2 linked regions of the Elephas maximus indicus genome follow. The protein of the gene in region 2 binds, or shares a complex with, the protein of the main gene of each other region. Links are inferred from orthologs where the notes say so. Each region holds a gene or a part of one and is shown on either strand. Other genes may lie near its edges.

The links. The genes of interacting proteins can lie anywhere in the genome.
Region 1: the proteins of LPL (region 2) and GPIHBP1 are in contact, whole or in part, in a crystal structure (PDB 6OAU), measured with the Homo sapiens proteins. The link is inferred for Elephas maximus indicus from reciprocal best matches to the Homo sapiens genes LPL and GPIHBP1. Residues at the interface, in NP_000228.1 of Homo sapiens: Tyr367, Gly368, Thr369, Ala371, Glu372, Glu374, Leu403, Met404, Lys406, Lys430, Lys440, Ile443, Cys445, Ser446, Arg447, Glu448, Val463, Lys464, Cys465, His466, Asp467, Ser469; in NP_835466.2 of Homo sapiens: Cys68, Lys69, Ser70, Leu92, Ala94, His95, Gly96, Asn97, Thr98, Glu99, Ser100, Leu103, Thr104, Thr105, Ser107, Trp109, Cys110, Thr111, Asp112, Ile117, Lys119, Val121, Glu122, Thr124, Val126, Met128.

Annotation. Positions count from the first base shown.
Region 1 is NC_064833.1:1,698,262-1,702,009, forward strand, and holds the start of GPIHBP1 (glycosylphosphatidylinositol-anchored high density lipoprotein-binding protein 1), read right to left. Parts: upstream 2,713-3,748; 5' UTR 2,646-2,712; intron 1-2,645.
Region 2 is NC_064840.1:55,317,543-55,321,290, forward strand, and holds the start of LPL (lipoprotein lipase), read right to left. Parts: upstream 2,838-3,748; 5' UTR 2,641-2,837; coding exon 2,553-2,640; intron 2,542-2,552; exon of another isoform or gene 2,410-2,541; intron 1-2,409. UniProt on the Homo sapiens protein: Key enzyme in triglyceride metabolism.

The DNA.
Region 1 (3,748 bases), on a different chromosome or scaffold from region 2:
ATGCTTCCTGCATCATTTAATATTTACCCTATAAAATCCTTCACTATTGCAACTTGAGGCTTGAATTTTTTCTTCAGTTCTTTCAGCTTGAGAAATGCCAAGAGCGTTCTTCCCCTTTGTTTTTTTGTCTCCAGCTCTTTGCACTTGTCATTATAATACTTTGTCCTCTTGAGCCGCCCTTTGAAATCTTCTGTTCAGCTCTTTCACTTCATTCACTGTTTCTTCCTTTTGCTTTAGCTGCTGGACACATTCAAGAACAAATTTCAGAGTCTCTTCTGACATCCATTTTGGTCTTTTCTTTCTTTCCTGTCTTTTTAATGACCTCTTGCTTTCTTCTTGTATGGAGTCCTTGATGTCATCCCATAACTCATCTGGTCTTTGGTCATTAGCATTCAACACGTCTCATCTACTCTTGAGATGGTCTCTAAATTCAGGTGGGATAAACTCAACGTTGTGCTTTGATTTTCGTGGACTTATCCTCATTTTCTTCAGTTTCTTCAGTTTCAACTTGTATTTGCATTTGGGCAATTGATGGTCTGTTCCATAGTCAGCCCCTGATCTTGTTCTGACTGATGATATTGAGCTTTTCCATCGTCTCTTTCCACAGATGTGGTCGATTTGATGTCTGTGTATTCCGTCTGGTGAGGCCCACGTGTATATGTCATTCATGTTGTTGAAAAGAGATATTTGCAATGAAGAAGTCATTGGTCTTGCAAAATTCTACCATGAGATTTCTGGCATTGTTGCTATAACCAAGGCAGTATTTTCCAACTGCCGATCCCTCTCCTTTGTTTCCAACTTTCGCGTTCCAGTCCCAAGTAATTAGTGCATCCTGATTGCATGTTCGATCAATTTCAGACTGCAGAAGCTGGTAAAAATCTTCAATTTCTTCATCTTTGGCCTTAGAGGTTGGTGGGTAAATTTGAATAATAGTTGTATTAGCTTGTCTTCCTGGTAGAAGTATGGATACTATCCTATCACTGACACTGTTGTACTTCAGAATAGATCTTGAGATGTTGTTTTTGACAATGAATGCAATGGCATTCCTCTTCAAGTTGTTTCCGGCATAAAGACCATAAGATTGTCCAATTCAAAGTGGCCAGTACCAGTCCATTTCAGCTCATTAATGCCTAAGATATTGATGTTTATGCATTCCATTTCATTTTTGGTGATTTCCAATTTTCCTAGGTTCATACTTCTTATGTCCCATGTTCTGATTATTAATGGATGTTTGCAGCTGTTTCTTCTCATTTTGAGTCATGCCACATCAGCAAATGGAGGTCCTGAAAGCTTTACTCCATCCACGTCATTAAGGTCGATGCTACTTTGAGGAGGCAGCTCTTCCCCTGTCATCTTTTGAGTGCCTTCCAACCTGGGGGGCTCATCTCCCAGCGCTATATCAAACAGTGTTCTGCTGCTGTTCATAGGGTTTTCACTGGCTAATTCTTTTCGGAGGAAGACTGCGGGGTTCTATTTCTTCCTAGTCTGTCATAGTCTGGAAGCTCAGCTGAAACCTGTCTGCCATGGGTGATACTGGTGGCATAGCTTCCAGCATCATAGCAACACTCAAGCCCCCACGATACGACAAACTGACAGACTCGTGAGAAGAGGCACCTAGTCCTCCAGAAAGCCTCCTCCTGAAGGCACTCAGCTTTCGTGTCCCAGGAAGCCCACCATGCCATCTCCTGCTGGTCTCCTCCCTCTGCTGCTGCTTCTCACCATCTTGCTGTCTTCAGCGTTGCAGTTCTTTCTCTGTCTCCTGGGTCTAGGAGGATCTCAGCACAGGAATCCCAGGTCCAAACGACGAGTTCCACTCTTGGCTCTTCTTGTTTGGTGGTGGTGAGATCCTCCCTTCTCACCTCTGGGAAGGCCCATTTTAAGCTTAGCGGGATTGTAAAACTGACCAATTCCATTGTTAGGGTTCCATACAGCCTATTAGCATGGCCCAACCAATCATTTGGTGGGAGTTACAAAGACTGTGGCTAGAAGGGCCATCTTAAGCAGTTCATGACACTGCCCTGTGGAATCTGGAGGTCCCAGGCTGCAAAACTCAGACCCTCTGGTGCAGCCTAGTGACCCATGGCTTTAGACCTCAGGGTGAGGATCAACCACCTTTCAGCCAAACAATAGACAGGACCATAAAATAAACAATAACACCCGAGAGGAATGTGCTCCTTAGAACAATCAATCATAGGAGATCAAAAGGACAGCATTTGCCCAAAAGTGAAGGCGAGAAAGGGTTGAAAATCTGGACAAAAGGAAACGGGGAACCCGGGGTGGAAATGGGGAGAGTGCTGACACGTTGAGGGGAATGCAGCCAGTGTCACTGAACACAACGTACAGACTATTGAATGGGAAGTAATTTGCTCTGTAAAGGTTCACCTAGAGCACAGTAAAAAAAAAGGTGAGGATCACAGACATTTCAGGGCCTCTTTTTGTGACTGACTGCTAACCTAAAGGTACCATGGAAGAAAGGCCTGGCAATCTTCCATAAAGAGAAAACCCTTAAGGAGCAGTTCTACTCTACAACACGTGAGGTCACCATGAGTTGGAATTAACCAGCCGGCAATGGGTTTTATTTTGTTTTTTATAGAGTATTTTAAATAAAAACATGGCAGATGTCCTCCTGTCCAATGTGCACTCACCTCCTCAGCCTTTCGTCCAGTGGGGCCCCTGGCTGCCCCTCGCCCTTCTGCTTGGTGTGCTCTTCATGCCTCTTCTCACCCTATTTAGTCTCTGCTTAGCTGCCGCTTCTGCAGAGGCCTGCCCTGGCCACCCGTCTCACCTCTGCCCTTTCCTCGCCTTCCTTGGCATTATGTCTGTGGGTGAGACCACAGTGCCTGGAGCAGCCCTGGGCTGGGAGCCACCCACCAACACTTAGACCCAGAACACGAACATATCCACTCTTCGGACCTCTGACCTAGCCCTATTTCACAGATGGGGAAACTGAGGTGGGGCAGCGGTTTGCCTGGAGTCCCCACTCCAAGCCCAGCCCTTCCAATCCACCATGGGCATTGCTCCACACCCCGGCTTTCCAGGGCAAGGTCCCCTGGGCCCTCATTTTCTGGGGGAGATTTGGCAGGACCAGATAGGGAAGGAGGCTTCTGGGGACCGCTGTGGGTGGGGCCTCTGTGCCCTCTGGGCTGGAAAGCCATCAGTCCCACCCACCTCTGGCCTTGAGCAGTGTATTGTGTAAGCAGCCTAGGCTGCTGGTGGGGCGGCTGGAATGGCTTGGCAGCCCCCCAATTCTTTCCCTGGGGCACCCCCATCCACAGCTTTGACCACCTGTGGCAGGCCACGGACAGTGTAGAGGGTAGGACTCCCTGAGAAGTCCCCTTTCTCTGTCCCGAGGGCTGTGAAGGGGCTGGCTGTGTGCAGGGGGCAGAGGCTGGGGGAATATTGGATTGGAACCGGAGACAGAGTCGGGTTCAGCCTGCCCCCTACTGGTATGCTTTGTGGCTTGGACCAGCCCTTAACTCAGTGTGCCTCAGTTTCCCTGACTGTCAATGGCAGGGGAAGAGGAGAGGGTGGTTTTTGGTTCTCTGGTGTCCTCCTGGAGGGCAGGTTGAGAGTGGGTTCTGGAGAGAGAACCCTGGGTTGGACCCTGGCTCCTCTTTCCCTGCTTGGGTTCAGGGCCAGCCTGAAATTCTCTGGCTCAGCTTCCTCAGCTGGCTATGAGGAGAATGTAGCCTGGCCTCCTGACCACCTGGCTGCCTGCCTTTTCCTGTCCTGGGGGCCAAAGTCACTT
Region 2 (3,748 bases):
ATGTTTCAAGACCCTTACTTGAACAGTCTGACATAAGAAGTCAGTAAACTGGATAGCCCTATTCTCCTTAGGAATAAAGTAAGAACGGAAGACTGAGCTAAAAATAGGCTGTTTGATAGACAGTGAACATTTTTCACTATAACTCTTCCCCGTGCCTGCCACCTTTCTATTCAGCTATTAGTCAATCACTCCCTAGCTGAGCTCTAATAGAAGGTGACATCTGCTATTTTGTTCTCATTACCCATCATGCTTAACTCAGACGTCACCCTGGAAATTCACTGTGGCCAGTCAAAGGGAACTGCAGCTATTGAGCACTGACCCTTCTGCTCCCTCTCCCAGTTCTTCAAGTTTCCTAACTGGGTCCCTGAAGAGATTGTGGTGGCTCCCAGAGCAAAGAGCCTGAGGGCAGGGCCTCATATCCTCATATTCTTCTTGGAAAGAAATAGAAAATGAATAAATACAGTCAGAGCCCAGAGAAAGTGCTGCCTACCATTGCCCACACATGTGTCTTTCTCACTCTGAAATTCTTACATTCCTAGGTGAATTCATTTAGAGGAGAAAAGCAGAGTGAAGCAGCTATGATGGGAGAGGTGGATGTACAGGGAGAGTGAAGGGTGGGAGTAATTTAACATCTACTTACACATCAGGAAACCCTGGTGGCACAGTGGTTAAGAGTCCAGCTGCTAATCAAAAGGATGGTTATCCACCAGGCGCTCCTTGGAAACTCTATGGGGCAGTTCTACTCTGTCCTCTAGTGACAGATTCAAAGGCAAAGGGCTGACTTAACAAGCAATGCCTCCTTTAGTAATACATTTTCAGCCAGGGAAGGCACGTGTTGGTTAAAATCCAATTTAATTACTTAAGTGTCCACTTGAATCAAAGATTGAGAATTAGAGAGGCCTCAAAGAACTTCCATTCTGGTCCATACTCCTCATTTAGGGTTGAAGCAGCTAAATCCAGAGAGGCTGCAGTGACCTGCCCCAAAATTTAGGCTCGTGAACCTCTAATGCAGGATAGCAAAAACTTAAAATGTGGATGGCATAGGTTTGCGTGTGTTTTCCGGCAAGCGTAACCTTGTACTACGTATATACGTTCTGAAATGAGAGCTTGGAGTTCATTCCTTCCATCTTCGCGGACCCTGGGAACGCTACTGAGAGGAACAGACCACTACATATGACGTTTAAGACTTCCTAACTGAACCTGCAGTGTTTTCAAACCCATCTGACAGAAAGATAATGGTAAATTTTTCCATCAAATGTAGCTTTCATGAAATCTCCTTTTAAAAAAAAATCTAACAATAATTTTATTTCACAAGTCGGTGCCGATATAAAACCACCTTTCAGCTGCAAAGTCGTGGGTAAACTCGACTATGACTTGAACATCTGCGGACGACGTGCCATTTGAGAGTACATCCAACAGACACTGACCCAACTGGAATTCCACGACGGAAGAGAAAAGAAAATGCTGACTCTTTTATTACTTGCTAAAAAAAAAAAATTTTTTTTTTTTTTTTCAGTTGCCTTCAGAGTTGCTATTGTACTTCAGCTGAACCAAGGTTCAAGTTACTCAGACTGCCTTTACCGTGGGCAAGGCTTGGGCTGGACACTCCTGTTCCTTGCGATAAAGAAATTCGCATCTCGCTCTAAATGTCTTAAAAGGCGTGCGAGCCCGCGGCGGTAACGGGGGTTCAGCCCGCTGCCTCCCCGCGGTGGCCAGGAGCTCCATGAGTTCGCGGCCGCAACGCCAGGCTCGGCGCCCAGAGCTAGCCCCAACTCGCACACGAGGGGAAGGAAACTGAGTGCAGATTTAGCCAGAGGCTGCTTGTCGCTACGCTACGTTTTCAGGAGGGTCAGCCCTTGGCTAGATTTTCTCGGCGCTAAGCAAAGCGTGGGTGCATGGAAGCTGGAGAGCTTCCCGGGCGTCCTAACGCGTGCGGGACGCAGCGTCCCCAGGACACCGCGCCACGTGTTCCCCTCACTCATTCCAGAGCACAAGGGTGCCTTGCGCTTTTAAGATGCAGACTATGCATTTACCCCCTCCCGGGGCCGGCTTCTCCAAAATAAGGGGCCACTTTCTGCCCGCGCTCCCACAGGAGCGGGCTGAACCTCTGCCGCGGCCAAGCCGGGGTCACCTTGGCCCGCGTGCCTTTCATTCCAGGGCCCCCAGAGCGAGGAAGTTACTGCCAGTCACCCCATCCGGGCCCTTCCCTTCCTGGTCCCGCCCTCACATTCCCCACACCCTCCCCGGCTCTGCGCGCGCGCCCCGGAATACCGCCGCTGCAGCCGCCCAAGTGCAGGGAACAGCGCGGGAAACCAGGAGAGAAGGAAAGCGGGAGCTGAGAGCCCCCCAGCGAAATCGGAGGGAAAATTTCCCCTCTACCCCTCCTGGGCCCCACCCAGGTGGTCCTACCCGGGTACCAGAGCTCGGACGGGGGAGTCGCCGGTGTTCCTTCTCAGCCCCTTCCAACTTCCTCTTTCCCATCCTTAGAGCGTGTGCTAGTGGCCAAGGAGCAGCATCTGCAGGTGTAGGACGAGGCTGCGCGCAAAACTTACCTTGGGCGGCGGTCACCCCTCTGTGAGAGGCGGGCAGACTCTGGAGCCACACGCCCAGGGCCACCAGGAGCACTGCTTTGCTCTTCATCTCGGGACGCGTGCCTCTGTAGTAGCCTCACGGCACAGGGGGGCGCGCGGGCGGACCAATGTACTGGTTGAATCCGAGGCCAGAGAGGGCTGGAGCCGCGGTGCGGCGTGGGGCAAGTCGCCCTTTAAAGAGATGGGCTGGACAGCTAGAAGTGGCAGATTTCCTCGGAGGAGGAGGAGGAATTGAGTCTGACACTGTCTCCACTCCAGGGCTGCTTATGTGACTGGAAATATGCAAATAAACCTCATCACCTATTGGCTATAAAATCATAAGTTGGGGGGAGGGCCCTAAACTCACTTCCAAATATTTAAGCAAACTAATGAAGATCAAGCCTGCCAGCAAGAAGAGGGGGAAAGGGCAGAACGGAAAATTTGATTTTTCTGTGAGGTTCCTATTTGCTTTCCTTCAGGAGTGGCTCTCCAGGGTCCTGTCCCGGCACCCAACACAGATTTCTATCGATTTATTAAAAAAATAATAAATTAATTAAAAAAAATTTTTTTTATTACATACTCTGTGACCACCAGTTTTCCCAAGAGGGAAGTTAAGTATTGACATTGGTCAATGTGTTCATTTTTTTCTTTCCTTCCTTCCTTTCTGAATTCTGGGGCACATAGTGTCATTTAGGTACCCATGGACACACATTGCTTTGCAGTTTATATTTGCACACTCTGGTATTTTTTAACATTGGCAAGATGGATTAGTTTATGTGATGGAGAAAAGTCTACTGGCTCTGACTAGCTTATTAATTTCGTCTCCTACCAGTTATACCCAATCCTCAAACTAATGAAAAATGCGAGGATACTGTCTTATCTTCAGAGGCAGAAGGTCGAGGTCAAAAGTTTATTGAGTTAATGCTAAGTGAAAGACACCTATCACAAAAGACACATATTGTACGATCTCATTTATATGAAATGTCCAGAACAGGCAAATCTATCCAGAGAGAAAATAGGTTAGTGGTTGCCTGGGGCTGGGAAAGAGGGGTGGAAGGAGAATGTGGAGAGACTGCTATTGACTACAGGTTTTTTTTTGGGGGGGGGGAGGAATAATGAAAAAATGTTCTAAAATTAGATTATGGCAGATGGTTGCACAGCTCTGTAAATATACTAAA